Caenorhabditis elegans: one gene and its partners. The protein of the gene in region 1 purifies or fractionates together with the protein of each later gene. This does not show direct contact. Each region holds a gene or a part of one and is shown on either strand. Other genes may lie near its edges. The genes, in order: gcy-11, fbxa-150 and oac-56.

The links.
Region 2: the proteins of gcy-11 (region 1) and fbxa-150 fractionate together in Caenorhabditis elegans (co-fractionation; one large-scale study listed by BioGRID). This does not show direct contact.
Region 3: the proteins of gcy-11 (region 1) and oac-56 fractionate together in Caenorhabditis elegans (co-fractionation; one large-scale study listed by BioGRID). This does not show direct contact.

The regions. Positions count from the first base shown.
Region 1 is NC_003284.9:17,049,584-17,059,306, reverse strand, and holds the start of gcy-11 (Receptor-type guanylate cyclase gcy-11), read left to right. Parts: upstream 1-3,725; 5' UTR 3,726-3,752; coding exon 3,753-3,906; intron 3,907-3,958; coding exon 3,959-4,085; intron 4,086-5,469; coding exon 5,470-5,599; intron 5,600-5,651; coding exon 5,652-5,722; intron 5,723-6,274; coding exon 6,275-6,416; intron 6,417-6,611; coding exon 6,612-6,720; intron 6,721-6,766; coding exon 6,767-6,922; intron 6,923-8,050; coding exon 8,051-8,155; intron 8,156-8,201; coding exon 8,202-8,314; intron 8,315-8,423; coding exon 8,424-8,580; intron 8,581-8,908; coding exon 8,909-9,069; intron 9,070-9,119; coding exon 9,120-9,225; intron 9,226-9,313; coding exon 9,314-9,401; intron 9,402-9,703; coding exon 9,704-9,723. Other genes in the region: C30G4.4 (TSC22 domain family protein 1-like), read left to right, coding at 83-109, 1,061-1,124, 1,928-2,019, 2,069-2,144.
Region 2 is NC_003283.11:20,518,953-20,528,086, forward strand, and holds fbxa-150 (F-box domain-containing protein), read left to right. Parts: upstream 1-3,645; 5' UTR 3,646-3,668; coding exon 3,669-3,817; intron 3,818-4,242; coding exon 4,243-4,328; intron 4,329-4,373; coding exon 4,374-4,942; intron 4,943-5,155; coding exon 5,156-5,298; intron 5,299-5,364; coding exon 5,365-5,509; 3' UTR 5,510-5,560; downstream 5,561-9,134. Other genes in the region: Y38H6C.25 (FTH domain-containing protein), read left to right, coding at 341-544, 835-1,110; Y38H6C.9 (DUF38 domain-containing protein), read right to left, coding at 1,428-1,560, 1,679-1,815, 1,869-2,386, 2,430-2,515, 3,278-3,318; srh-166 (Serpentine Receptor, class H), read right to left, coding at 5,748-5,935, 5,976-6,279, 6,345-6,538, 6,596-6,914; Y38H6C.24 (Transposase), read left to right, coding at 7,501-7,603, 7,703-7,785; Y38H6C.13 (F-box domain-containing protein), read left to right, coding at 8,923-9,002.
Region 3 is NC_003282.8:14,343,414-14,355,872, reverse strand, and holds oac-56 (Acyltransferase), read left to right. Parts: upstream 1-5,121; 5' UTR 5,122-5,142; coding exon 5,143-5,246; intron 5,247-5,302; coding exon 5,303-5,395; intron 5,396-5,424; exon of another isoform or gene 5,425-5,445; coding exon 5,446-5,617; intron 5,618-6,113; exon of another isoform or gene 6,114-6,134; intron 6,135-6,231; exon of another isoform or gene 6,232-6,252; intron 6,253-6,355; exon of another isoform or gene 6,356-6,376; intron 6,377-6,510; exon of another isoform or gene 6,511-6,531; intron 6,532-6,659; exon of another isoform or gene 6,660-6,680; intron 6,681-6,939; coding exon 6,940-7,068; intron 7,069-7,121; coding exon 7,122-7,457; intron 7,458-7,505; coding exon 7,506-7,626; intron 7,627-7,664; exon of another isoform or gene 7,665-7,685; intron 7,686-7,715; exon of another isoform or gene 7,716-7,736; intron 7,737-8,128; exon of another isoform or gene 8,129-8,149; intron 8,150-8,344; coding exon 8,345-8,652; intron 8,653-8,659; exon of another isoform or gene 8,660-8,681; intron 8,682-8,779; coding exon 8,780-8,900; intron 8,901-8,950; coding exon 8,951-9,059; intron 9,060-9,152; exon of another isoform or gene 9,153-9,173; and 13 more. Other genes in the region: srlf-28 (SXP/RAL-2 family protein Ani s 5-like cation-binding domain-containing protein), read left to right, coding at 12,053-12,164, 12,365-12,459.

The DNA of each region.
Region 1 (9,723 bases):
TGATTGTTGTGTTCTTTATTGTGTTTTTGTTGGTATAACCCAAATTTTCCCGGTTCACTTTCACTACTAACGTCAGTTTCAGAGCACCCCTTGTTAGAGCAAAAACTGTGTAGGTTACCTTTTTTCTTTTTTCTTTGAAACACAAAAAAAAAATTAATGAGTTGCCAGGTTCGTGAGAGGTAGAGAGAAAGAACTGGACTTTGAAAATTCAAATTATTTTCGAAAGAAACTTTTGTTTTGGAATATCTTAGAACGTGCTACTAGCAACATTTTATAGAAAAAACTATCCTGTTGACATTTTGAAAACTTTACCCAACTCTATGTAAGAAAATTTGCAAAAATGTTTAGGGTAATTAATTTTCCTAATATTTGACAGCATTTTTAACCTTCAATCACTTTTCCTTCTTTATATGTTCCTATGATTTTTTTAAAAGTATTTCAGTCAAAATATGTGAGTGGCCTTGAATCTAAAATTAAAAGCCACATCAGAAAATTCCTAGTTTGCAAGCCCACTTTTCAGACAATTTTCGATAATATTCAAGAATCGAAGTGATAGTTCGAAAAACCTATAAAGAAATTTATAAGCCATCCTTTTAAAAAATCCGCACGCCTACACCAAACGTTTTCTCACTCCTCCCCCAATTCCTCTCTTTCCCACCATCTCATCACAGCCACCGTTCGTTGGCAGCTCGCCAAGCCACGCCTCCACCTGATCAGAAAAAGTGGCTGCTGACTTTTAGTGTCTCTTTGCCTCCCCTCCTCCTCCCGCCTTTCTCTCCCTCCCCTCCTATATCGTGTGTCTGTTTGTTTCGAACTCGAGACCAGCTATCAGTCGACCACATAAAAGCGGTCCAAACTTACTATACTTTCTTCACCTCAACCTTTTGTGTATCACTGTTATTATTGTTATTATTTGTTACTTCTACCACCACCCAGTTTTACTAACCATGTGGCATTGTGCGGTTGTTGAATGCGCTGTGAACCATGTCCCAACATATTCGCCCCATTATGGAATTTCACGGGGATGCTCTCCATCATCCTCATCCGGCTCATGTTACAGTGTCGCTGCCAGCCCGCCTGCTCACAATGTGCTCAATATTGATAACAAGATCGAGCAAGCAATGGTAAGTGATGTCTTAATTGAAAAAAATCACAAAAGCTTTGCAAAAAATGTATTACACTTTGTCGGCTCATATCTCATAAAAACATAGGAATATTGTTATGTAGATAACAAATATTTAGCGAGTTTAGAAAATTGGGAGAAAAAAGACCGAAATAAAAAAGCTAATCTTACAAAAAAATCCTGTCGTTTTCGTACCGAAAAGTTGGCAATTCTGGAAAAGTTTAGCTAAAAAAAAAGTGAACCCCTTAAAATATTTAAAGAATATTTTCTAAAAATTTCTATCAAGATTTTCAGTTTTTAAAGCAGGTTACTAGGTTGAATATATTTCGATTAATTTAGTGTACCCCTAATTTCCAGGCGGTGGCTTCAAATTTTTTGCACCCCTACCACTTTCTCCGCTATCACACAGTACGTGATTTGCGTGCAGTATCCATTATTATTATTTCCGTGTACAAAATTAATTAGATTTATAGTCACATGGAGTTCAAGTTCAATTTATTGTTGTTCACTGATTTGAACCTGGTTTCAAGGTCTTGCCTTTTTAAAAACCACCGAGCTACACACTTCTTGCAAACGTTAACTTTACGTGCGCGAGATGATAAGAATTTCTGGTACTGGTACCTCGAATTAGTGGTAGCATCATTAGAAGTCACCGACGAACAATAAAGGCCAAAAACCAAATGAGTGTGTATTTATGGGGGGGAGACAGAAATAGAAGGCTTTCTTGTTCCAAATGTGATTATCACAAGTATTATATGAATTATATCAGATGACATAATGTTATAATTGTCTGTGTCTTTTAAGGACCTAGTCAAAACTCATCTGATGTTTGCCGTTCGCGAGGAAGTGGATGGCTTGAGAGGAAAAATTTTCGATCTGGAAAATCATGTTAGACGGTGAGCTTGAACCCTCATGGTCTTGTAAAATAATTTTAATGCTTTGCAGATTAGAAGCTGAAAATTCAATTTTAAAGCGAACAATTCCCAATGACACGCTAAAACAGCTACATCTAAAGTTATAATAATTTTAATTCCAATCAAATGTATGTACATTGGTCGCAGTAGGCACTTGGTCCCTCCAATTTCCGTTTTCACACTGGTGTATCCCCATCCAAAAACCCTTTCCTGTGTCTTTTCGTCCCTCGATTGATTCCTGATTTGATGCCATCACTTCGAAGATTTGTCTCTTCACTGGTCACTATTTGAATATATTACGATTTGTTTTGCAAAGTATATCAATATATGAACGTTTTGATTTTTAGTTTGGTTTTATACTGCTATTGATTTTGAAAAGTATTAAAAAATATTGGGGCTTTGCGCAGCGAACTTCCCGGCAAACAAGTGAGCTGAGGCCAACATCAGTTGAGGTTCGCAATTGACCAATCATATGTCGTCTGCGTTCATCAAGCGGAACGCTCATTTTCCAGATATATCATGACGTCATAACCAGTATGACGTGACTCACAAATTTGATCAATGTGATTTCATTTTTTGAAAGTCTATTATGTCTTAAAATATCCTGCACATTTTTTTAAACTTTGTAGTTTGAACGTCAAAATTTCAAAAGAAATGAAAATAGCGCAGCCGACGCCGATCGAGGTTCGCGTAAGACCACTCTCATTCCACATGCCAAGTGCCGTCTACGTTTATCAAGTGAGACGTACATGGTATGGAGTACTGTAGGGTTGATTTGGATTCATGGTCGGTGAACAACAAATGCTTATAAACAAATTATTTACTTTAATTTTAAAGATCAAGCTAGTTTTTAAGACATCATATTTTCAGTGATGTCACGTTTCTTCAGAAGTCTTCAGAAATGTTTTTTGTAAACAATGTTTTTAGTATTTATAGTTTCTACTTTAAAGTTCACGACTCAAATTACCAAAACGTGCACTTTCCAACTGTAACCTTATCAGAAAAAACCACTGGCAATTAAAAAACCGTGTACGTTTTCAGACTTATCAGCTGATAGTGAACTGTTTAGTGAACCCTCTCGCAGTAAAACATAGGCAGTAAAATTTTATAACTCCTAAAAACTCCCCAATCACGTTCTTTTCCTTTTTCTTCTTCGCCATCTTCTTTATTTTTGAATTCTCTCCAGTCTTCGATCTATCGGTCTTCTTTTATTTTCCGCCTGATATAAATAAAGGGTCACTCGTTTTACACTTTTTGACCGCACCTCGTAAAATAAATCATCTCTTACTATTGGGAGAAGAAAAAGCTTCATCAGAGAACCTACAAATTCAAATCAAGTTCTTTTTTCAAATACATTGGATTTTTGATAGAAAAAATGTTTCAAGATGCTTTTATTGAGGTGACGATTGAAAGAAAAATTGGAAAAAAAGACAGAAGAAGAGAAAAAGAAACATTTCCATCACATCACAACAGTTGCTTTTTCTCTCTGAAAATGTGATATTTGCTGACGTTGGTAAAAACTCATGACTCAGGGGGTACCGGAAATTGTGGATAGATAGAGTTTGATGAAGAATTGAATATAATTAAAACAAAAGTAGATCAAAATCAAATTTCCGGGAATTTTTGCAACAGGAAATTGCGGGATTACCACAGTATGCCAGCCCACACCTTCCCCCTTCAAAACCTTCACTTCATTCCACATTCCATGCTTGGCTATGCCATGCCGTGAAATCTTCCTATTATGGATATTGGTTCCAATAGCTTCGTCATCCGATCACATCACTTTTTTCGGCAGATATGCGTGCAATGTTGACTTCAAAACGGATTACTGCACCCCTGACACATACGTTGGACGCGCGTTCTACTATGGTACGGGACACAACAATAAAGTGCATTTGTGATTATAAAAAGTGGAATTCAGGTTTGGAAGATGGCGGCGGAATAACAACAAATGGTACTTTTGTCAACTCTGATATTACGGTCGAGTTTTTTGATCCAACAGTACAGGGGAACTTTTCAATTGGCCGGCAAGACGGGAATTATATGTCGTGAGTTTCCAGAACATATGTTTTTTGCGAATATTCGGATGGCTGGGCCTTTTTTCCAACATTTGTTTATAATGGTAGTGACATAGGGAATATTACCTATACATGCAAAAAATTCTCTAAAAAATTAAAGATTGGTTTCCGTTTTACTTTTTTTTAACCAACCTTGTTTTGAAACAACCAACTTTTATTTCTCTTTAAATTTTGAATCTTTAAATCTTTTTCTCCTAAATTTTTTTTAGCATAAGTGTAGCCACTTGTATGAATGTTAGAGCCACTTTGCACTTCCACAGTAATCCAGAAATTTTTGTTTATACAACTGTACCAAAGAAACGAGGTAAAAGGATATAAAGTTTAGATTTGTGCGAGTAAGTTATCTTTTGCTTTTTTGTGACTTTTCGAAAAAAATTTGGCAGAAAATGAAGAACATTTTTCAATGGCTTGTTACTCGTATTTAGCAAAAGTGTCAGAAAATTGGAATAGTATAAATATAGTACACATACTGTAGCGCAGTCAGGACACTGACTAATAAACTCCAGTTCAAAAATGTGTAAGGGAGACGATCATCGCGACCCCAGATGTGTCGGCTGCGCAGTTGGTACAAAGTTTTGCTACCTAATGCCTCAACGCTAAAACGGCCACAAAAATAGCAAAAAAAAATGGTTCTCAATTTGCAACTTTCCTAGGTCTCTAAATCTTTTTGCACCGTTCTGTGGTAAAGTTTGTTCTCATTTCTTCTTTCAATTGAAAATCATATCAATATAATAAAAATCAACATCCGGCTGGATTTCATTCCTACCGTACTCCACTCTTGTCTCCACTCACACCCACCGCCTCGCAATCTTTCTTTTCCCGCGCGCGCGCAAAAGTTTTCCGTGGTGACAGTTCCCTTCTCTTTCATTGCAGCTAGTGGCCCACCCGTGTTTTGCAATGTTTTGATCTCTAAAAGTCTAATAACGTCATCTCGTTGTACAATATAGAATGGAAATGAAGAAGAAAAAGGGAAGAAGAAGAACACGGCACGTCTCTTTTGAAGAAGAAGAAGAAGAAACAGACAGCCACTTATTATCCCCTCCAAGATATTTGCAAAGACTTTTTGAAATTTATGATAAGGGTTGGAAACAGAAATCAAAAAATGAGTGCAGCCACGTATTCAAGCTTTGGTCAATTTATGGGTCAGGAAGAAAGAACGTATCAACGAAAAATGTTATGTTGTATGTACCTAAAAATATACCTCAAGTTGACGTTAATCGAATTTGAAAAGAGATGGAACTTGATCAAGATCAACAATTTTTGAAATTCAATTCGACGTTTTATAAAATGAAATGATAAAAAAAAATCACATAAGGATGATCTTCAAAAAAACCACCAAGTGTTTTTTTTGCAGAAGCATGCTGGACATTATGCTTGCCGATACAAAAAAGAATGATGGGTTGTTGGGCGTAGTCGGAGTGGAGAATGATTGTAAAGAAATTGCGGCTCTCGCACAAGCCTACGATGCTTCAAGTTTGCTTGTGGTATTTGATACTTGAAATAAAATTAAATAAAAAACAACAACAAAACATTCAGAATTGTGAAGATCAAGTTGGAGAATCGCAAATGCCGTCATCAACTGCACTTCAAATGTCGTCGACTCAAGGGTAAGTTTGGAGCAGAATCAAAAATTAGGCGTCAGATCGTAGACTGTAGTTTAACTGAGCTGTTATTTCGAACCCAGACTATTTTGCCCTGTATGAAAAAGAAAAGAAAATCATAATTTTTATATAGTGTGTAGCTTCGAAAGTTTTCGAAATTCTGGAAACACTCCAATTTTTAAGGAATGCATTCCAGTTTCTATAATCCACGTTTAATTACCTTTGAAACCGAAATTAACGTTATTAAAACCGAAATTAAATTAATTTATTGAAAATTGTAATTTCCTTTTATTACGACTTTCATCTCAATTATTTTGAGATAGTTGTTTGCCGTGCTCAAATAATTACCAGAACGTCCCGAAATATTTTTAGTTACTGAAAATTTACAGCCAAAAAGTTTCTATTTTGAAAGTGGTCCAAATATCAAGTTGTTTTTTTTCCAAGTACAAGCAGCATTGCAACATTAATTTTTTATAGAAGTCATATATCATTACTTTTAAAGAAATCCTCTTTTTCGAAAATGTTACAGAGTTGATTTGTATAATAATTGAGTTTCAGAGGAAAATACAGAGCTTTTGCCAAGCTTGCGAAGTCAGTTGGCTGGAATAACCTGGCAGTGATAAACTTCGTGGAAGATGGTCCTGCAGATATATCCTATCATGATCAACTTCTGGATGCGTTGTCTGCTGAAAGCATCTCGGTAAAATATTGATCTGATTTTGTGTGCTTTTAAATTTTTTCGAAGTGCATAATAATAGAAAACGGTGCAAATTCGATACAATAGTCTAAAGATCGATTTCTAATTTTGATCCACAGTTTTAAATTTGAAGTCTGAAAAATTTTTTAAATTATTTTGTAACACATGTTTCACCATTAAAAAAAACTCTAATTTCAGTTAGACTTTGTCAAAAAAGGTGGTTTTTCGTCAACCATCACCAGTGCGATGTTTACCGGATTGGAATCTGTAATCGATGTCATTCTGGAGACGTACATGAAAACACGGAGTAAGACGTGACATGTACTAACGTTCTACTTTTTCATATCTTTTAGTTTATGTAATTGTGTTGGACTTACCAGTATCGGGGACCTTTTTCATGAATGCAATGTCTACAATGGGATTGTTGGAGACCGGAAAGTATTTTGTAGTTATGATGTCATCAATTGAATCGGACGCGGCAAACTATTTTGGCTTTAACGTCAATCGAGGTTCAGTTTCAACATTTCAGAGTTTCTGCTGAGTTTTGAATATCTTTCAATTTGACTTCAGCGTTAAATTTAAAAAAAGGAAGCCAAAATGCTTGTGTGAACTTGCTCCCAGGGGGCAAAAAATTAGGGGACACCCTCACAACTCTCAAAAGATGCATTGTAAAAGTCTAACAGGGGACAATTTTTTAAATGTGTACTGAATAAGAATATGACTTCTGAAGGAACTACTCAGCCCCGTAAATCTCAGCCCCGTAAATCTCCTTCTCAGCCCCGTAAATCTCCTTCAAGTCCAATCAATGGTGACATGAATCTTTCTGACCAACGTCAGCAAGATTGGAGATGGCAAAATTGAATAGATGCCAACTATGCTGGTTGGTAGTTGGAACATTAGCATAGTTGGTACATACAATTTCTACGTCACAGCATCTTGACAGATTTTCCCCACAGCTGGACACACAAATTTTTCTGCATCAGATTTCATCAGCTCCAAAACTGTTGTACAGGTCACCTGTCAGAGAACACTCTCTCGCAGAGGCAGTTATGTTGTCTGTATATCTCTACAGGCTCACCTCTCTCTACAGACTCACAGGCACTCTGTGAAAAAACTGTCAAGATGTTGTGACGTAGAAATTGTATGTACCAACTATGCTGATGTACCAAGTTGGTACTACCAACTACCAACCAGCATAGTTGGTACCTCTTCAATCTTTATGACGTGGTCGGAATGAGGTTCATGAGGCTGAAACCATTGTAGTTCTACTAGAAGTCGTATTCTTATTCAGTACACATTTAAAAATTTTTGTGCTCTCTGAGATTTTGAAATGCTTATTTGTGATTTTCGAGAATTCCCCCTAAGAGCGAATAATTTTACCCCCCATGGTAACCTTTGCGAAACCCCTAGCGTACTTTTAAATTTACTTTGCCTCATGCCGTTACATCAACCTTTTACCATGTTTTCATTGAAGTCCAGTACTGTATATTCACAGTACCGTAACGAATCCCCTTTTCACACTCTCAATGCAGTTTTGTTTGTTGTAAAGAAAAATCGACGGGACGCTTAAAGGCTCAATACTTCCGAAATTTTATTACCTCTCCTATTCGCTATGCCTCATAACACTTTTGATTAAGGTAACATGATTTTCAAGACAATCGACTACGGTATATCCGATGCCGACATTCGTCAGTATTACCGATCATTTATGTACTTCACAGACGTTCCACATTATACCAAAGGCTAGTGATATCATATTGCCTTTTGAATTAATTGTTTGGCTTTTAGACTTCAGTGACGAATGGACTTCATTCCAAAAACGAGTGGACGGAGACGCGTCAAAGACCTTCTGCCCTCCGATGTGCAATACAAAAGCAAAGGGAATCGCCAACAATGATCCGGTGGGTGCTGAGTCAGCACTACTGACCGGAAATTAAAGGGATTTTAAAAAAAGAAGAAGCAATCACATGGAGCCAGAGTCGGAAATTAATGTTTATTTATATATTTCAGTGGTCGGATGACGCGTATTGGTATTCCGAGAGCCCATCAATAGTTGATGCATATGACTTGGGAAGGTTACTTTCGGAAACTGTAAAAGTTCACGGAGCATCACTACTGAGAGATCCGGAATCATTAGTCCAGACAATGTCGGGAAGAGGAGTTACATGTGATTACGTTTCTATTATAGTTAAAGAGATTACTTTGAATTCGGAAAATTTTCATAAAAAGTGGCAGTTTTAGAGCTTTCGCACAAATTTTCGAAACGTTTCTTCAAAAAAAAGAAACAAACATAAAACAAATATACAAAAAACATTTCGTCATACGCTCTATGAATTCTTAAATTATACAGCCACTCAGTCTCATTCGTTCTCGAAGAATTTGTCAATTTCTAAAAAATTTAGATTGCAGTGCACCATCTGGGTGCTTTGTCCACAATACATATTTCTCAGCTATAGACCCCTTACATACCTTAACTTTCAAATATAATTATTCAGCCCTACTTGGATATGTTACAAAGTTCAACACCAATGGAGTTTCCCAACGAGAGTACATTCTATGGGCTCCACAACAAGCTTCCAGCTCAAATGGACCCATCCCTTTGCCTGAATGGGCAACTCTGGCTGCCAGAATGCTTCCGGATGGAAAAGGAAATTATGTAACTTTAAATGAATAGTTTATACTCAGCAAAAAAAAATTAAATTTAAGTCGATAATTTGGAAGAATCTAACACAACTTGGAATCTTCAATGGCGAGCTTCCCCAGTCGAAGCCCGAATGTGGATTCAACAATGAGCTGTGCCCCGCGGGAATTCGTAAGTTTCGTTGAATGCATGCCGTAGTTAGAGTAGACTAGCTGACTAGCAGCTGATCGGCACCGTAACGAAATCCATTGTTGAACAGGTAACCTGTCAGAACTCGAGATCATCGTCATTGCGGTTTGTGTGGTTGCAATTCTGATACTAGTCGGCGTGATTGCATATATTGCAAGGTTCGTGTTTTTAAAAATATATGTTGGAAAGTAGTAAAAATGTTCGGTAATGTGTATGGTTTTTAGCCGAATATGGTTGCTTTTCTCAGCGGAGTCCGAGCCAAGTTCCTTTTTTGATTTTTCGAAAAATCTGTATTTGAAAAAGAGGGTTGTTCTCAAGTTATACACGTTTCTAGATTGATTGTCAGAAATGAACCTGCAAGATGTCAGTCGCTCTAATTTTTTCTAAGTTGTATTTGCTACATCTATGCCATAAACTACTATGATCACACATAATATGTCAGTGAGCTTTCCAATTTCAGATGGATTGCTTATGAACGGC
Region 2 (9,134 bases), on another chromosome or scaffold:
TCTTGGGAGGTTAGATGAGCAGGTGTGTTACTGTAAGCGGCGAATCGAACTATCTCTATTTGTTGTGTAGACAAAGTTGAACATAATTCAGGGGTACGTGATGATTTGTGTGTAAATTCAGCAACTCTCTGATTTCACATACATGCACATTTCTAGCCCCGACGTCAGTAATCTCCGGGGAGACTTCCCACACATACCCTTGCACCTTTTGGCTCCTGTTGCCCACGGCGCCACCGTCAAGCCCTCCTCTCATTTGTACCTTGTCTGCGTTTATAGCTTCTTTATTCTTCTGTTTGTTACTACTCGCAGCTTCTGCTTCGATAAGCTGAAACTGAGAGAAATGTCCGATTTCTTCAAAATCGAATATAAGAAGGCGAATGAAGGCCCTCCACTGATCTTGAACACATACAAACGGAAATTCACGAATGCTCTCAACGTATATGTGCACAGTCTAAGAAAAACTGCTCGGCAACTGCTCGTTCAGGACAATATACAAGTTCAGTTGGATTGTGCGGACTATCAACTCATTGAGTGCATTATTAATGTAAGTATTGGAAAAAATCAATGTTAGGAATTTTAGAAATTACTGTTTAGTCAGTAATAAGGGTACTGCCAAAATAGCCAGGGACTCTAACTTTTCTCCTGTCTCGTTGAAACGGGAGTCTTGACAGGGTCCATCCACTAAAGTAGTGAGCTTCTGAGAATTTGCCCATTTTCCGTTTAGTGCTATGTCACAGGTCACAAACCACAAAATTGACGGATATAAAAAATTAGCCTAACATATAATTAGTATATCTGAATGTAAGAAGATGAAGAAAACCATGAAAATTTCAGCTTCGTCGTCACGAAACCCCTCTCCTAACATCCACGTTCAACATCAACGTTCTTGAAAAAATGGACTTAAGCCCATTTATGAATAAAACCGACACCGTCCAAACTAACACGAACAAGGTTTTTCTTCACATTCCATTTATGAAAGGCAACAAACACAATCTGGAACACATTATGATCGTTCGACTGACCCCGTGGCATATCAGCGGAAAAGTCATCAAAACTCCGAAAACCATCGAAGAGCTCAGATTGGCGTTGCACAATTCATTCGAGATTTGAAGTTTTTTATGTGATGATTTTGTTGAGTCAGTAATTAGCTGTTCTTTTTTATTGGTTGCTATTAGTTTCAAGTGTTTGTTGATCCTATGTCTACCTCACATAGAATCACCTCAAATTCATCAATAAAGTCGTCAGTTTAAAAATAGATGTACGAATATTCTATGTTTAATTAAGTTGATACAAGAAAAAACTTTTTGTGTCAGTTTATAGTTTGTAAATATGAAATTTGATCTCGAGTGAAATGGGGATATTTCTATAAATCAGCAGCCGACATTGAGCAAGGACTTTGAAAACGTGTTGTTAGTAAAGAAGTACAATTAACGGTTACGGTCAAAATCCTTCAAAATACAATCACGACGGCAGATGGATCCATATAGAACACGGCGCCACATACCAACCACCAGAAGTTTGTTCCGATCTTCCATGTCGAAGAGTTGAACGTGTTCAAAGCTGACAAAAAATTGGGTTAGTGAGATTTATTTAACACTCAAAATAACTTTTAAGCTTCGCTAATTGAAAGTTATCTCGAAAAAAGTGAAAAAAATTAAGAAAAAGGTTTAAACCTCACCAAGTAATTTCTGCAATCTCTTCCTCGTTTTTTGGCTGAACATCAAACAAGCGAACAATTTTCCCACTCTTTACATAATTATCCACGAAAATTTTGAAAAACGAGTTAATAGGAAGTTGTGGTCTCGAGCGGAAATTCTGAAAATATTCAAGAATTTTATTGAGTGGTTTGAGTGGTCTCCTGTTTTAACCTTTATAATTTCCCAAGCATCCTCGGGCTCCAAATCACAAAGCGACAACTCTAACCGTTCGGCATGTTGCAGGAAATCATAGTTAACTTTGAAAGATGAATCGAATTTTAATAGTTGTTGCTCCGACAGAACCCTTGCTTCCAATTTTATGTACTTGCACATTTTGAATTGCTCCAGTTCAACTAATTTCTCAAAAATGGCACCGGTTACACAATCCACGTAGATTTTCTCCAGATAACCTTCCTTGAAAAGTGCCAAAATTTGCGCAGCCCAACTGGAATTTTCAGCATTTTTTCGAAACATTATCTCTTTCCCCTTAATTTTTACTTCTCGAGTTTCAAATTCCGAGATTAAAGTTGAAAACACTTGTTCGGGAGTTTCAGGCATATAAATAATCACTTTTTTGGCAGTTGTGCTTGGATTTTCGAAAATTCGACAAAGTTCGTGAACCGCCCGTGTTCCGTGAAATGTGAGACTTTCTATAGGGATAGTATTGATTTGTAGGCAGACTTCCAATTCTGGAGAAAAATAGAAATACACAAATTTTAGAATAAAACCTACTTTTTTTAAGCTCCACGTAGTCAAACGAATTTGGAATTTTGTCTGCTAATCTCATTTCCATTTTTGCGCATTGTCGAATTTTGCATCTATGCATGTAAATTATAACTGTTAACTTTGTAGTTTGTAGTCTACGACGTCAAAAAAATTTTTTTGGACAAAAAACCTTAGAAACTCAAATTTTGGGAAACTCCGAATTTCTGATAGTGAGAAATTTTTTTGCTAGAATTTTTTTAGTGCAAAATTGAAATTTTGTGATAAAATTTTGGCAGGTAATACAATTGTTTTCAGAAAATAAACTAGTTATTTTTGACAGGTTTGACATATTGATCTAGTTGTGTCCTACCATTTACCCATAGTCCACCTGCTCATGTATCATCTCACCTTTTCCCGTATTGTTACGAGTGAGCCCTGTGTGGCAACAGTCACTCTTTGTATCGCCAACCGCCTAAAAGTTTTCACACTTTTCTCCCTTTCTCACTTATTTATTGAACCCCAATGTTTTACTTTTTCAAAAAAAAAACGTACTATTAGTGTGATGTTTTAAATTTTCAGAGTCTAAAAAAATTTGGTGCAAAACTTTAATTGAAACATTTTTGAAAATTGTGGCAGGAAGAATTTTCAATTTTCAGAAAATATAAAATGAACCAGTTATAATTTTTTGAAACTACCTCATGATTCTAGTAAATCGGTAAAAAACCAAAATTTTTCAAGAAAGATTTTTTAAGCACTTTTCAGAATTTTCTAAAAATACGTACTTTAATTCTAAGTTTTTTAGTTTTGAATTCTCACCGCAATCGAATTTCTTCCGAAAGTTATTTTAATTTTCCAATGCTTAAAATTAAACTAACCTCTCTCCAAAAGTCAAATATTTCATTACTTCCAACTTCATGTCCTCCGGCAGTTCAGGCCATTTTTCGAAATTTCTCATTTTCTAATAAATTGCTGTACAAAATAAAATCCAATAATTCTTGCCAAGAAAAAAAAAACGATACAGAACCATTATTTTTCACATTTGCATTATTTCGCAATATGTTTTCTTTTTTGTCTATTTCTCTAACCCTCTCGTTTTCCTTGCCTGCCTCGAATGTGACAAATATTTTATGGTTTTGACTTTTTTCATTTTTTTTTGCTGAAAAATTGACGTGTTTTTTTGAATTGAATCATCGCTTTCGTTTTAATGCAAATTTTGCAATATTTCTCAATATTTTTCTTTTTATTTCAGATTCTCAAGAATTGGCTATGAAGAACAAACCGGATTTACCTTTGCACACAAAATGCGACAAAATGAGCAAAAAGAAAAATCTCAAAAACAGAAAATTCAGTCAATGGCAAAAATTGCCTGAGGATATTATGAGAGAAGTACTGAAACAGCTGGATTTTGAAGATAGGTACGAAAAAATTTTCTGACTGTTCTAATAATGAAGTTTAAAGAAAACCTTTAAAATAAACTCTCAACAAAAAAAATCAGCTGCGGTGGAGCATTTTGGTCCTGAAAAAAAGTCGAGCGGAGTTTTTGCAAATTTTTGTTGATTTGGAAACTGTCTAGGTTAGACAAAATTCTGAAAGCCCTTTGAAAATTTTTATTTTTTCTATGTATCTGAAAACTTTTGGTTGAAAAATAGAATATCCCGCCAAACATTTTTTAGAAAATTTGAAGTTCCCGTCGAAACATTTTCTTTCAAAAAAAAAACTAGAGTTTCTCTTGTTTCAGTGAAAAAGTATTTTCAAAAATGTTTTCTGTATTTCAGACTATAATTTTAGAATGAGCTCTCTCAAAAAAACGTGCAAACCAAAAAACACCAATAATTTCCAGAAGCATCATCCGTCAATGTTCACGCACAGAAATGATTTTGGCTGACAAAATTCCAGAAAACTTGAACAGTATCAATTTTCTTGAAGGTTCGTGTCCTTCTACAATTTTTGGAGAAAAAAACATTCATTCAGGATCCGACCCAACCAATAAGAAATATTATATCTTCCTGGACATTGACAATATTCCTAACAAAAAACTTAAAAATTTCAATCAAGAAACTAGGATGGCCGTTGGAGTCGGGGCAGTTGAGACTTTCTGTCGAATTTTCCGTAACAAAAACTCAAATGCAAAACGAGTTGTGTTCGAATTCCCATTCCGATCGACTCATCGTTCAATTATGCCACTTTTGATTTCAGAACTTGAAAAATCCGAAATTATTATCAAAGCTCGAGAAATCGCAATAGACTGCAATGAATCTACGTCGAAATGGATTCAAAAGCTCCTAAGCCGCTTCGAAATGGAATACCTAGAAAAAATCACAATGAAATCGCTGAGTGGGAAGGTTTTTGACAAACTGAAAATTACCGATCATTTCAAGAGAGCTAAATCCTTGGATCTTCACGCCAAGAAGAATCCGAGGGGGTACACGCCTGGGGTAGATCAAACTGTCGTAGTGGACTATGCCATGCTGAGCCACGTGGAGAAATACATGCTCACAGTGCATCAGCTGGTACCGGAAGATGCTTGGAAAGTGATCAAGGTGAGACAAGAAGGTAGCTGTCCAAACCTTACCAGGTCCACGTAGAGATCCGCATTTAGGCACTTGTCCGAACAAGTAGGCCGTAGCCCATAGTTAATTTGAACCCTTGCCTAATACTTCTTTTACAACAATAAAGATTAAATCGTGGGTCGCTCGGTGCTGTACCAACTTTATTCTCAATCTACATACATAGTCATCACATCAAATTTTTAGAACTTCCGCTCGAGACCCAACCTACCCATTGGCTCGTTTTTCAACATTGAGGTTGCTGTAATCATTGATCACTTGCAAGTTTTGCGCCAATTCGATGTTCAGCCAAAGCATCAGCCTCCTACAATTGCCGCATTACAATTGAGGTGAGTTTTAGAGGAACATTTTCGATAGTTTCCCATTGAAACTAAATATAAATATTTCTACTTCAGCTACCCAGCCTACACTTATCACGTGCAGTTCTTCGATGTAGAGGACTCCAACAATATTCTCGTTGTCTCAATCAGCATATTTGATGTGACTGGATCAATTTGCAGCCGGGATCATATTTGGGAAACGTTTCGAACGAAATTTTAGTAAATTTTAATTATAAGCACAAATTGTTATCAATGAATTATTTTATATCACAGAATAGTTTTTAACTGCTTGTCGGACACCAGGCACAAGATGTGCGTAACGGGTACTAGGGTACTAGGGTACTTGGGTACTAGGGTACTATGTAGAGTACTAGGGTACTAGGGTAATGGGATACTAGGGGACTATTGTACTGGGGTACTGGGGTACTGGGGTACTGGGGTACTAGGGTACTTGTGTACTACGGTACTACTCCTGTTTCATTGACTGATTTGTTCCAAACTTGATTAGGTTTCTGTACGACTCGTTTGAAACTAATTCCAAATACTTCCAAAGTCGCATTTCGATAAGGTGCGTGCACGGTCAGCATAACAAACGTTGATAGACCTCCATGAAGTGCCATTGTAAATACAGCAAGATTATTGGCTTCTAAAAGGCTTCATTACTCTGCAAACTTTACGAGGCTTACCTTGATTGTAATAACCGACGACAACAACTACAACGCAATAACCGGCTGGAATACAAATAGCGGAAATTGGAATGGCTACTTGTAAGCACATTGCGAAGAACAACTGTTTTTGCAGACGAGTTGTGGCTCGCGATTTTGATTTCAGCGTGAAAAGATACCAAAATATACTTAAGATGAAAAATGCGCCCTGTGGGAGAATAACAAGAGCCGCGATTCCGAGGCTCAAGTAGAGCGGACCAGATTCAGTGATTAATAGAAAAAAATCGGGATGATTTATTTTTTCTTCTGGAATGCAGGGATTTGTCTGAAACTCAATACCTAATTGTTTAATTGGGTCCAAAGATTTCAATGCTAGAGGACTAAACTAACCTCCATAATCATTAGTTTTCCAAGATTTTGATCGGGAATATTTAAAAAGCAAGGTAGAATGAACGTTATTGAAATAATATAGTGAATAGCAATGTATACAACGTACTTCCAGCCACGTTTTCTATCTACACCTGGATTTCTGATTAACTTGTGATATCGCTCCTCGAAGAACATAAGAATCGCCATTCCAATCACTGAATTTTAATTTTTAAAAAATGGTTTTCTGTTTACACAACCAGAATAAACCATACCTCCAATAAGGGAAACCCCTACGTAGGCTTGAAAAACAGTTGAAACCCCAAGCATCGTTAGTACTCCAAGTGGATATACGGCGCAGGCAGGTAAAAGGAATACTGGAATTTCTAGGCAACTCATATAAATGTCTAATAAGGCACCCGCCAAGTGAAGAACCAGCATATTCGTTCTTACATTTTTCATATTGTTTGGAGTCTTTGCTATGATAATATAAGCACCGAAGATATGAATAGGAACCTCGAACGAGGTAAGGATGTGAAGAGCATTTGCATGATATGTGTCTTTATCAGATAATATTGGAGTTTTGCTACACATTCGACAAGTGAAATTAGCAAAGGGAAGTTGAAATGAAATGAGAATGTTTTTGGCGTTGCATTCCAATTAATTTTGTTAATTAATTTTGCTGATTTATGCTGTCAGGCTTCTCTGGCATTTATTTGAAAAAAAAGAACGGCAAAAAACACAACATACCTAAAATGCTCATTGATAAGGTTTAAAATAAAGTATTGGTCCACAGAAAACCATCAAATTCAGAAATTTCAAGAATTAGTAAACACTCTATTTGCTATGTAACTCTAAAACGACTCTGTTTTTCCGCGATTTATATTTATTAATTATGAATCATATTCGTGTTTCCTGATCACCTTAACAATAATCATTTCTTATCAAGACAAAACTCCAGACATTAAAATCACATCACAATTTCCTTATCACCGATAAGGCTCTTTCCAGGTGACTCACTTGTTTAGGAATTCACTACAAACATAAAATAAAGTGTACTTACATATATTTCGTAACCCCAAACCTAGGAAAAGGAAATTGGAAAAAGTAGGCGTGTCCTATTAGTGCTCAGGGTGGTGAATATATATTAAAACGAAGCCAAGTGTTGGAGATTTGGAAAATGTCAGTTAACATCGGTGCAGTTTTGATGATTTTCGTGTATGCTATCAATTTTTATCTGTTATTTCAAGGTTTTGATTTTAAAAGCAGTTTTAGGAGTGAAGGTAAGGGATTTTTCGTTTTGATAACTTCTTTTTTAAATCAATTTCATGAGTTAATCCAACTTGGTAATTTTAACAACTGTGTAATTTTCTTGATTTCAGAAACTCTAATTGATTCGTATAATGGTAGTATTCAAGAAAATGGAAAACGCATTATGTTCCAAGGCTTATCACTTCGATCTTGATTTTAAATGTTTTGTTTTTTATCCTTTTAAGATGTGTGATCTCATTTTTCATTTTTTATCTGTTAATTGATAATAAATGTGATTCAAATTGTATTAAAAAGTTTTTTCAAGTAGTCTTTCTTTCCTAAAGCTAAGGGGGGTTGCTTCCCAAATTTTTGTTTAAATTAATGAAAATCTTATGAGGAACAAATCTTATTCTCTATGACTACATTAAGCAAACTCAGCAGATTAGCTCTTTGCTTTGCTGCCCAACGATGCACTGATGGGTCTCTGAGTCTTCAAAATGTTGGCCAAATTAATAGGTTTCCCTGGCCAGACGCAGATATTACGGACATAGTATAACATACTCAGAGGTGCGCAATATTCTTGTGTTGCCAATATTATCATCGTTTTGGTTACCATGGTATTATTTGGGGATCTAGCTTCAGAGGGAAAGAGTGAAATGAGCTAATTGAAAAACGGCATCATCAAACCCTGAAATTAACCGGAATACATATGTCATGCCTGGATGTCCCACTACGATTTGATCTACAAAAAATGCGGCAATTTTTTCCCAAAAAAATGTGACGTAAGCACCATGTGAAAGTTGAGAACTCTGCGTCCCAATTCCTGCAATTTTTGTAGATCTAAATAGATCAAACCGAAATGGAACACTCGGACACCACGTGTATACAGGGAGTTTACTGTAAATTAAATACTTTAACTGGAATTTTTGGAACTAGACTAGTCTAAGAAAGGGTGCTTTCTTGGTGAGGCCTCTGTTATGACGAACTCTGTAATTTTTTCTACTACGAAGGTTCTCCGATGCCTTTCCTGCAATTACTGGAACTAGGAGGAGGCATCTCCAGCTTTGGGCTCAAGCATCACGGGTTGTCAAGGAAACATCTGAAACATCCAAAAATTTATTTATTTTTTTCACATACTACACAACTCCTTTTTCGAACTTCAATGAATATATTAGATGAAAGACGCAGAGATAACTGAGAAATTAAAACAACACTGGACAGATGAGGTTGCTAGGAGAACAAAAGGGCGTGAGATAACTCACACACGAAACTGAAGTAGAAGGGCATAATTTTCAGTTTTTTGTCTGCGTGCTCAAATTTTTTTCAATTCATCCGTCTAAATAATAACGTCATGGAATCCTTCGAATACTGGCCAAGATTGCCTGAAGAACTCAAAAGAGAAGTTATAAAAAACATGGGATTTGCTGACAGGTATTTTTTATATGTTGAAATAGACTAAAACAGGTCCACAATCACAAAAGTTCATAGTGAGACTTCACAAAAAATGCCTAAAATGTTTTCAAAACTCCATTGGCTGCGACAAAGAAAAATGGGCATAATTTC
Region 3 (12,459 bases), on another chromosome or scaffold:
TATTAACTTCGTTTTTATACTAAAATACAAATATCATTATTATATACTTGAATCTAAATGTTGTTTGGTAGAACATAATTTTTATTCGAGTTTCTAAAAAAAAGACTGTTTCAGCATGCCTACATAATTTATGCAAAACAATTTATTTCATTGCTCGTGTAGATCGAACTAGTGAGAACAAGAAGACAGAAATAAAAAACTTTTCGGAAAATTTCAAGTTGTCGTTTTTTTTCAAAATTTGCAGAACATATGATAATTTTACAATTTTCAGTTTAATTTTTCGATATTTTATTTTTTATTTTTTTTCACTCACAAAAATTGTGGCGGGGTTGTCGGTAATTTAAAAAATCCCGAAACGAAAAAAAGTTCAGTGTTTCAAAATGTTGTTCTGAAATCCTTTATATCCATTATTTCGGAATATTCATTATTTCCAGTAAGGCTAAAAACAATTTTTTGAAACAGGAAATATTTTGAGCAGTTTCAAAAGTTTTTTGCACATAAAACTGGAAATTAACAAGTTTTAGCAAATTAGAAGTTTGAGTCAAACGTGAAAAATCATTTAACCGTTTCAGCTCTTTCATAGATATCCAATAAGTTAACAGATTGAGTTCTCAATGTAGTAGTAAAAAGTAGTAAAAACAAATTTTAAAAAAATGTTTCGAATAGTTTTTGTAAGCCTCACAATGAAATTTTAAAAAAACAAAAGACAATTTTATATTTTCACAAATAAAAAACTTTTGTAATATTATGCACACGTTTTTGAAATTAAAAAAAAATAAATCAGAAACACTTGCGATTGGAAACATTGATACATTCAGTTTACTTTAAAATATTATTGTTATTAAAACATAAAGAGAAGATGCAATAGAACTGAAATTGAACAATTGAGAAAAATGAAACAAACTTGAAAAGTAATCATAATATCTGAACAGAAACAGAAAACTTCCCAACTCTGAAAAAATTAAAAATTGTACATTTGTTTCATAGTTTTAAACTGATTCTGAAAATATTTTCATCATTTCAACAACTCAAAAATCTCATGGAAATGGTCCAATTTTTGTCGCTATTTGGATTTAAATCATCACTTTGTATAAATTTTTGCAAGGAGGAGCCGGAAGAACTGGAAGTTCAATTTGAAAAATTAAAAAATTTCAGACTGTTTCGCATTCTTCATGAATATCTGAAAAAGTTGAATGTATTGATACAAAGGTTCCTAGAAGAATACGAATTAAATCACTGCGCTAACAAAAACAAACTGTTTCACGTGGATTATTCCTTGTTCAACAATTTTTCTAACCAATATGTTCGATTTTTTATTTCAAAACTATCTGTTAAACAAATTTTCAAAATGTTTTAACGCGTTTTGTAAGCTGTTTTCGGCTTGACTCGTTTTAGGTATGTTTTGGTAATTGTCAAATGGAAAATTATGTGAAAAACATAAAACTATAAAATGACGTTAAAAATTCAGAAAACATCTTTTTTCTTTGAAGGTCCATTATAGTTTACTAAATACTGTTTCACATTTATAATTTAAGCGTTGAATACTTTTTCAAATTATTAGATTGATTTTTTTATCATCAACACCGAAATTGATTTTAAAATTAATTTTAAATATTGTTTCAAAACTTGCGGAAATTTTATTCAAAATTTAGGTTTTGTTTTAAACATTCCCTGTAGAAAAGCACGACATTTATTAAAATTTTCTTTTTTTAGCTGATATAAAATTACAGCCTTCTCAAACACAAAGTTTTAGCAACTATAAAGGTATACTGAAACAAAACTATTTTTCAGAAACCACACTTAAAACATAAATGAAAAATTAAGTTGTTGTTATAAATTTGTAATTTGTAAACTGCTTATTTTATTTTTTCTTGCATTTTTTGTAGCCTGGAATTTATGTTTTTAAAATTTAAAAAGTCAACATCTACCAGACTAACTTAAATACGCATTCGGAGTAAAAAAATTGTCTTAGCATCAATTTGGGCAATAGTTTATTTTGAATTCGATATTTTCATTGCATTAGCTTTCAGAAAATATATCATTCAACCCATAACTCTCTTGTGACCAAAAAAGAGTCCCTAGTAAGACGACTAATAACAATCTTGGACGATTAATGTTAAAAAAGGAAACAGTATCTGTAATTTAAAAAAATTATTTCAGTTACTCGAATCAATTATTTTTTCCCGAGTGAAAAAACGAGTGAAAAAAATCAAGAGATCAAATATTAAGTCATATCTGTAGAAAAGCGGAACAAACTTGAACAGTAATCATGATACTATCTGAACAGAAACAGAAAACTTCACAAAAAAAAATTAAAAATTGAACATTTGTTTCATTGTTTTAAACTAATTCTGAAAATATTTTTATCATTTCAGCCACTTAAAAATCACAAGGAAATGCTCCAATTATTGTCGGTATTTAGATTAAAATCATCGCTTTGTATACATTTTTGCAAGGAGGAGCCGGAAGATCTGAAAGTTTAATTTGAAAAATTTAAGAATTTCAGACTGTTTCACATTCTTCATGAATACCTGAAAAAGTTGAATATGTCGATAACGATACAGCCTTACATGTATTATTATTGACTTTTGAATTTTTCTAAAATAATATCGATAAAATTACTGCGCGAGCAAAAAAAATCTGTTTCACGTAGATTATGTATTGTTCAACATATTTTCTAACTAATTTCTTTGAATTTGTATTTGCGAAACTATTAAACAAATTTTCGAAGTTAAAAATCTTGAAAAAAAATTTTATAACCGTTTATAAATCTGTTTGGTTATTATCATATTTTGCTAAAAAAAAATTTCAATTTATTGTTTAGGCATTGAATATTTTTTTCAAACTAATGTTGATTTTCTATCTTCAACACAATCTTGGAAGATTAATGTTAAAAAAGGATGTTGAAATTGTCAATATTGTTTGAAAACTTGAGGAAGTTTTATTCAAATTTTAGGTTTTATTTTACAAATCCCGTGTGGAAAAACACGATTTTTTTTTCTGAAACTCTACAATTTATTAATTTTTTTTCTTTTCTCGCAGATAATAGCTACATTTTACACGCTTTTACTACGTTTTTACAACGATGAAGGTCTAAGGTCTACTAAAACAAAACCATTTTTCAGATAAAAAACTGAAAACATAGATGAAACATCAAATAGATAAATTTGTAATATTTAAAATGTACATTTATTTTTTCTCTTTTATTTTTTGTAGCCCATAATTCTTATTTTTTAAGTTAGAAAACTTTTTAAAAAACTCCAGCAAGAATGAAGAATAACAATCTTGGTAGATAATGTCTAAAAAAATTTTTGTTGAAGCAGCATCTGTAATTTAAAAAAACCATTCCAATTACTCGAATAACTTATTTTTCCCGAGGGAAAAAATAATCAAGATTGGAAAGATTTCCGCGCATCAAGTATTTTCCTAATACAAAGAAAGTTCATATGATCAATTTGGCAAAACCATAAAACAGGAAGCAGGAAAAATCCGGTATTATGACCTGAATAGAGTGGCTAAACTACACACACACGAGAAGAAGAATACCGTTCATTTGCGTACACAATTTTCTCGATGATCATTCGTTGTGAAATAAAATTTTTATTGGAAAAATATTTATTCAATTTTCAAGCTGAAAAAAATGAAAGAAAAATTTTAAAACTATATGATTTTGTTAACAATCGTGTTTTTTTCTTTAAAACCACTGAAAAATTGTTTTAACGAATAAAAACTGGAAATTTTCACCATGTTTCTGTATTTTTTGTATTTTCACAGAAATTAACTGATCATATAAGTAACCAGTGAAGAATATAAAACCGGTTTTTACTGGATCCTAATCTAAATCCTATGGATGTAGTGAATAACTTTTTACTTTTTATTGCAATGTAATGAACATTTTTACATGTTTGCAAAGAAACCGAAAAAAAAGGTCTTTTGTCAACCTTTTCTATAATTTGTTTTGCTAATTTTGAAACATTTTTTTCATTTTTTCACAGTTTCATGTTATTGGTTTGTTAATAGTAAGACTAATTCCGTCATTCGGACCAGGGCTGTGCGGCTGGCTGATATTTTCGGCTGTCGGCTGAGAACAATTTATCAGTCGGCTGTCGGCTGGTGCTACCAGCCGAAAATCCCAAAATTTTCGGCTGTCGGCTGGCGCCGCCAGCCGGCTGGTGTTTTTGGTTAAGTATTGCAAAAAAGTTTCGAAGTTATTTAGTATACTTTTAGTACAAAAACATACTATAGCAAAATATTTCATCATTTTATTCATCAAAAAACCAAATTTTCTTATTTTTTCCACTTGTAGAACTTGCATCTAGTGTCAAAATATGTCAAAATGTCAGTTAATTTTTTTTCAAAACGCCAGCCGAAAACTCTAATTTGGGGGTCGGCTGGCGCAGCCACCCGACCTTTCACTATCAGTCGGCTGTCGGCTGGCTGCGTCAGCCGACAGCCGCACAGCCCTGATTTGGACTTTAACTTTTTTCAAAAAATTTAATGTTTCACCAATCCGTGATATTTTTGTAACAATTAAATATGTTTGTTTTTTTGGTTTTTTCACGACTAGTTATTTTCAATAGGAAAATTTTAAAAACTTCCTTTCAGAATGTTCTCTCTTCATAATTTTGAAATTACCTTCATTTTTAAATAATTTTAAAACTAGATATTTTATAAAATTATAGTTCTGGATGATTTTATACTACTTTGAAACTTTTAAGGATGTGTTTTTCAATCCTGACCTCCTTAGAAATTGTGTTCTTTTTTGATTGAATTTCTTGAGTTTTGTTGGTTTAGACGTTTTGTTTACAATTAAAAAAAAATTGAGAGCCGTGCACATTTTGCATTTAACAGAATTTTGCCATGTCGAGACCATGTACCATATTTTTGGCGCAAATTTTTTGCATCTAGGTTATTAGCGATTTCTTTGTTTTAATTTTAATTATTTTTAATCAAGAAAATACAAGTGTAAAGGCGCAGAACCCAAATCTGAATCTTTCCTTTTTCCGATCCAAAAATGACAATATTTACCGAATTAAAACTTAAAAATATATAACAATTTTAGCAACTATGTGAAACATAACTTTTTTCAAATTTTCCTCTTTACCATAAATTTCAATTCAATTTATTCCAGATTTTACCACAATGCGAGAAGACATCCAATGCCTTCGTGGTATTGCTATAATCTTTGTTTTACTATTTCACTTGAACCCTAACCTATTTGTTAATGGATTTCTCGGTGTTGATATGTAAGCCCTGAAACTATTTTTAATTTTTGAAATCAATATTTATTTTTCTTTTTTAGATTTTTTGTGATATCTGGTTTTCTGATGGCTAAAAATTTAACAAAGGCAAAATTAGTGAAAATTCATGATTTTCTGCTGTTTTACTATATGAGGTTAAGTTGACAGCATTTGTGGTGACTAATGTAAATCCAAATTTTTATAGATTCCGTAGGATTCTACCAATGTATTTTCTGGCGGTTTTCCTGATTGTTGTAATGACACAGTTGTGTCTTGGAGATTTTTTGTGGAAGAATAATAATCGATATGCGTTGGCATCGCTGTTCATGGTGACGAATCAGCTGATTATTCATGATCAGGCAGATTATTTTAATGAGGTAAGAGAAGAAAATTCAGATTTATTATGGGAAGTGTGTAGTTTTGTTCACTTTTTCTGTTATATTCACTTTTAAAATTATTCTTTCCTAAAAAATGAAATTTCAAAATTTTCGGGCATTCAACCCGAATGCTTTATTCATTTTGCTTTTAATATTCATCACTTCTGTGGAACAGTAACTTTTTTATCCAATATTTAAAACAATTTTTAAGCTAAATGTAGCAAAAAATTATACAGCAACTTAGTTTTTTATAAGTTTATCGTGTATTTTACCCACTTTATATGTTATATTCACTTTTCCAAATTATTCTTTCGCAAAAAAATGAATTTTCAAAAATTGTGCAAACTATACCCCTTGTGAGTTCAATTCTACCACAATTTTTTTTTACAAAAAGTGTCCATTCCTTCCATTTACTGCAATTTGATAATCCAATATTTAAAACAATTTTCAAGGTAAAAGGATTTTGGAAAAAACTTAAAATTTTGTTATGAGAGTTTTCATAATGGTTTTAAAAACAGCTCCAATTAAACGACATTCTAATATTTTTCAAGTTTTGGAAATGGTGAAAATATGAATCATTTAAGTATAGCGTGTATAACTTTTCATGTAATGATTTCATTCTAATAATTTCCTTAATAGATTTTAAATATATCGAACAACTTTTCTTACAAACTTGAAACAGTGTTTAAAATTTTATTCACAATGGTCAGAAGCGGCTAAAATAGTTACACATCTTCTCTATTTTCAACAAGTTTTGTACTGAAAGTATATTAAAAAAGATACAATTATGAAAATTTATCGAAATAGTTTTTTAACTTGATATTCAATTATTTAGTCTTTGGCAAAAGGACATTAGATTTGTCTATAAATGGCAGGAACTCTGATAATTTTTTTTTAGCTATTTAAATTGATTAATGATTCAGAAAAATGTTAAGCAAACTTTCAAATTTATTTGAAACAACATTTGAAAACTTTTCAACTTTCCTCGAGTTGAAATTATGCCACAAATTATTATAAAATCATTGTTAAACTCTCTATAAAAAAGTTGAATACAATACGTTGAATGCTCTCTGTTGGTAATTGGTTTTAAATGACAGAATAGAAACCGTAATTTTTTTTTCTAAAAATTTCAAAATTATTTTGCAAATTTATTTTCTGATTTGGCCTATTTTCTGGTGTTTGTTTTTAAAATGAACCCATTTTAATGGTTTTTTTTTTAATATTGAAAATAATAATTTCTAAAAGTTTAGTCAGAAAAAGTGTTCAAAACTTTATTTTGCCGCAAACCCCGCTGGAAATTGTCAAAATATCCAATTTTCCAGTTTTTTGCCGCCACGTCTTCAATAAACGGGTTCCTTCATCTATGGTCCCTCTCCTTGGAAATGCAATTTTATCTTTTTGTTCCAATTATATTTTTTGGACTACAATTTCTGAAAAATGACTATCTGAAGGTAACTCGTCTTTAACAAATTTTTAATTTTTTTAAAATTTTTTAATGTTTCAGCTAGCGACTGTCTTGATAATTTCAGTTTTCGGTTTCATTGGTTTTGCCCTGATCTTGGACAAATTCGCGTTCAACTTCATGTTCCTCAGATTGTGGCAGTTTTCTGTAGGATTTTCTGCTCTTTTTTGGAGCAAGATTCAAGAAAATGGAACACCTAGTAAAACTGAGAAGCCTAGCACTTTCACATGTCCATTGACTAAAAATGACCTGGTTACTGTATCCTTGTCAGCGCTAGCACTTTGTCTATCAACTATGGAGATTAAAGTTTTAGTTCTAAGACCACTGGTTACTGTAGCAACTGCTGTGATAATTGCATGTGAATCGAAAAATTTTCAGGTAAGTTTATAGCATAATATTTAACTGAATTTAAAACAGAAATTTCAGTTTCTAAAATCCCCGACACTCGGGTATATTGGGGATATTTCATATGTATTGTACCTGGTTCATTGGCCAGTTATTTCAATTTTCTTGATTTCAAACGCCAGAAGTTATATTTTCTGTATCAGTGAGTTGGGATTTATTTATTGAAAAAATAATATGTAATCTACCGTTTCAACAAACTGTGAAGTAATGAATATTTTCAAAAGTATTCAGTTATGTTAAGATCCATGATTCCTAAATAATTCCGATTTTTCGTCAGTATACTAGACTACAGTCTCGTTGTGAAAATGAAATTTTAGAAAAGTGTGACGTCACACTCGGACTTGATTCAGAAATTTTTTAACCAGCTGAGGAAACTGTTTAAAGAAAAATTTTCTTAAAGTTTAAAGCCCAAAATTTAAATTTCACAAGATTTCACGATAATACAACTTTTAGAAAATTTCGCCGTTTCATAATGTTAATTTGAAAAACTTGTAGTAATCAAATTTAAATGGCATTTATTATCGGTTTCTTGAAAATTGGCAATAGAGTTTTAGTTTTAGTTTTTTAAAGGTTTTTTTTTGACATTTGAAGTATTTAACTGTTTCATGTTGGTTGTTTAAAGATAGTTAATGTTTTTAGAATAGTCATCCTCGAATCAAATGTTAAAAACTTTGATTTTTTTTCAGAATTGCTCTCCATCTGAAAGTTTAAGTTTCACGCATTTGAAAAAACTAATTTATTTTTAAATTTAAACTCTCTTCTCAACTGACTATTTTATTCTCAAACATGTACCCTTTTCCCAAAAATAATATAAGATTTCAATTACTCAATAGATTTATTCTATTCAATTATACTTTCAGTGATCATATTCATTTCATCAATTCTTCTCCATCATCTTTTCGAGAAACAATACCTGAAATTGGACATGAAAGGAGTTTTTCCATTAATTTTCCTACTAATCGCAAGTAATGCATATTTTCAATATAGTGTCAGAAATGACACATTTTGGATGAACAATTTCACACCGGAAACTCGAGAAATTATCGACAAAAACCTGGTTTTGTATACTTCGCTTTGGGATTTGGAGCCAAAAAAGGATAAGTGTATCGAAAATGACATTGATGTGCCTTTTCCGAAAAATGATCTCAAAGGTTATTGTAGATTTGCGGTGAGTAAAAGTTAAGAGAAATCAGAAAACTTTTTACTTTCTGTTTCTCGATTTTTGATGAATTTCGGAAACAGTAATTTTTTGAAAAAATATTTTTTAAAAGTTACATCTAGGATTTCATTTTAAGCCAGGAAAAGGCAATTTATCAGTCATGATGATTGGAAATAGCTATGTGCTTAACTTCAGCGAGCACATCCGAGCTCATTTTAACTACAACTATTCAGATTATCGATATATGTCAGTTATTGGTGAGTTATAGATCTTATTCTGGTATTCTTATATTGAGAAACATTTTCAGCCAGTTACGGGCTTTTTTCGGACCACCGTTTGCTTTCTCAGCAGGCTTTGGAATTTTCAAAGAAACAAGTGGAATTGCACAAGCCCGACGTGCTTTTCATAGTGGCAAGGTAATACTTATTTCATTTAGTAACATAAACTTTCAAAATTTTATTGTGAAAAATTATATAAATTAAGAAATGCTATTTTTTTTTGCTTAATTCTGTACATAAAATATATGACAAATATTTTAGTATTGGAAAGTTTTTTTTATCAACATTGTGAAACATCAAGTTTTTTTTTCAAGTAAAAAAGGAATTTGTCATTTTACTTTAGAAACAATGTCTCAATGAGCCTGCACTCAATAATTGTTTTATTTTAACGAACATTCATTTTAGTTAATTGATCTGGAATTTTTCAGATATATGAATAACATAAAAAATCCTGTTCAAAAGGATGATAAGATTGTGCAACAAATTAATGAAACAATTGCACATTATGAAAAGTTAGTTATAAAAAATCCTGTTTCAAAACAGAAAAAAAAATATTTTAGATACGTGAAAAAACTATACATCCTGGACGCATTCCCAGAGTTTCATGAAAACTTTTTGAACTTATTCCTGCACTACGCTGTAACTAGGCCAGATGACATGGATGCTCTGCATTTGAGTAAAAAGTTGGCGGACGACGAAAAGAGACCGGTGGTGAAGAGATTCAGGCAGATAAAATGCAAGAAATGCCACGTGGGTTTTTAATTGTTTGTTTTTTTTAATTATATGAATAATTTATAACAGAAAATAAAAAGTTTCAAATTTTAATTTTATTGGCGTATACAGGATGTGATGAAATTTAAGAAAAATCTAATTTTGTAATTCTTGGATTTAAAAAATTAAAATTTGAACTTTTCAGTAAAACTTTTTTGGTTTCCAAGTTTACTGAGTTTTAGCAACGAACACTGAATAAAACAACTTCACAAAACAGTTTCAATTGAAATAATTAATATTTAATTCTTATAAGCTTAAGCTTTGGTCCCTAGTTTAACAATCCGATTTTATAATCAAAAAAATCATGAAGTCAATGGGAAACTGTACGGGAACTTGAACGTAATTGCGTCAAAAATATGTTGTTGTCTTCAAATTTGGAAAAACAAGTCAATTTTCAGTTCTGAACAGTGTACTTTCCATAGATTTTGAAATAAAATTATGAAAAGTTATAAAAACTTCAACTCGAAAAAGTTTTGTTTTTAACTCAGATTTTCACTATTTCATATCCTTCATAAATTTCTGAAAGTTTTAATGTAAACGTTACTTTTCGTATTTATCTTTAATATTTCCAATTCCAGTTCTTCGATCTCAGTCCCATGTTCCTGGAAGATGACAAGTACCTGACATTCGATAAAGACACAATGTTGGCTTACGTGGATAATTCCGTACATCTCACAGGCCCTGGGGTGAAAGTCTGTGAGCCTGTCTTCAAGAAAATTGTCACGGAAATTATGGATAGTTTTTAAGATAATTGTCTGAGTATGATGATTTTATTATTGAAATAAATTAATTTATTGATAACCTTGCAAATTGTCTAAAGAGTGAAAAGATAATTAATAATTTAATTTTGGACTCATTTATGTGACTTGATGAGCAATATTATTAACAATATGACAAAAGTTAGCCGTAAATCGATTTTTAAAATGTTATTGCAATATGACAACACAGTGAAACAGACTTCGATAGAAAAATATAATAAAACATAATAAAAATGCTGTTTCAAACTTATTTTAAAATTTAGAACTTACTAGAAATGTATTTATGTGTTGAGAAATAACAAAAAAAATGTTGAAGATTTTTTGAGTTCAATTTTTTTCAAAGAGGTATTGTGTGAAAAATTTTCAGTTTCATGTTCATGATAGAAAAGATTAAAAAGTTTTCAGAACGTTGAGAGCACATTTTAGAAAAAAAAGTCAAAACGTTTTTTCTCAAATGAGTTTTTTTTTTAAGTCTGATAAGTGTGATTTTTTGAGAAAACTTATTTTAAATTCAAATGCAATATTTGGCAAATAAGAAAATTGAAACCAGTTTGTATTACCAAAAATCAGTTTGAGATCATATGGATTATTAGGTCAACAAAAACAAAATGTTTTTGAAAACATTGTCAAACAGCAAGAAATAACTTTTTTCCAATTCCAGTTGTAAACTATTTTGGAGGTTCAAATTTCGATGGGTTTCAAATTTTCAAACTTAATTTTTAGGTTTGACATATTCAAGAAATCAGTAGTTTTTCCTTTCACATTTAAAATTCTGAATGTAGAAAAACAATATTGTACTTTTGAAGTTCTAAATTGAACTGCTTGGCTCTTTGTGAAAATATATAAAAGGTTATATCTCGGTTCATTTGTAAGATATCAATAAATTATTAACTGCAAATGTATAGAAGGCGAACTAACAAAGATTTTGTCAGTTTAAATTTTTTTTTATCAGACAAACAAAAGAAATATAATCTGTAAAAGTCAACGAAAAAGTAGAGACTCAATATGCCGCTCTGAAGAATTCTTTTCAGCCATGTCGGGGAATACTGTGTTTAAGTTTTCTTATATTTGAAAAAAAACACTGTTCCAATTAAGTTTGCATATCCAATTCGGCTAGCTTACGCATCGAACTAACATTTATCAAGCATGTTTCATAAACTTAGTGAAACAGCGAGCAAAGACTATTTTCAATTCATGCAAAAAAAATAGCTCGGCGATCCAAACTTCGATCATTTTCTGATGGTTGTTTTTTTATATCTGCCGAATATGTCTGGCAGGCTCAAGAACTTCGTATCGTACTATACCGTATCAAATTAAAATTTAAATTCACATTTCAGGTCAAACCGAAATGAAAATAAAATACTTTTTTACATTTTTTGAATCAAAGGAAATATGATTTATTTCAAAGACAAAACAGTTCAGCAAATCGAATTGTGTTTTTTCGTGCCTTAAAATCCAAAATCTCATAATTTCCAACACGACATAACTATTTTGAACATACTGTCCGTTGTTGAGAAGAGGGATAATCCTATGAAATGATGATGATGGCGAGGAGATGAAAATTCGGCCAAAAAACGAAACTTTCAAACATTTCAACTAAAAATGCCACTGTATCCAACTTCAATTTTTATTTTATTTTCTGGAATTTTATTAATTTCAAATGCCCAAGAAGCTGCAATATTGCCAATCGATGTGGCTTCTCCGAGTTCAACAGGTAATTTCGAAACCTTCAGAATAAGATATATTCTAGTTTCACAACGATTTATTATAACTTTGAAACAGCAATTTTTTAATTATAATCTTCTGAAAGTTTAGTTTAAAAAATTTTTTAAATTCTTCTTAAGTCAAAGCATTATTGAAACCAAATATTTTGTCTTAAAAATCGTTTCTGAAACAGAAATAAATAATTCTCAGAATCCCCACTAATTGAAACCATGACTGACACCCCTGCTTTTCTAAAATCTGCCACGGATAGTCAACGGAAAGAATACATTGAGTTGGAGGGAAAC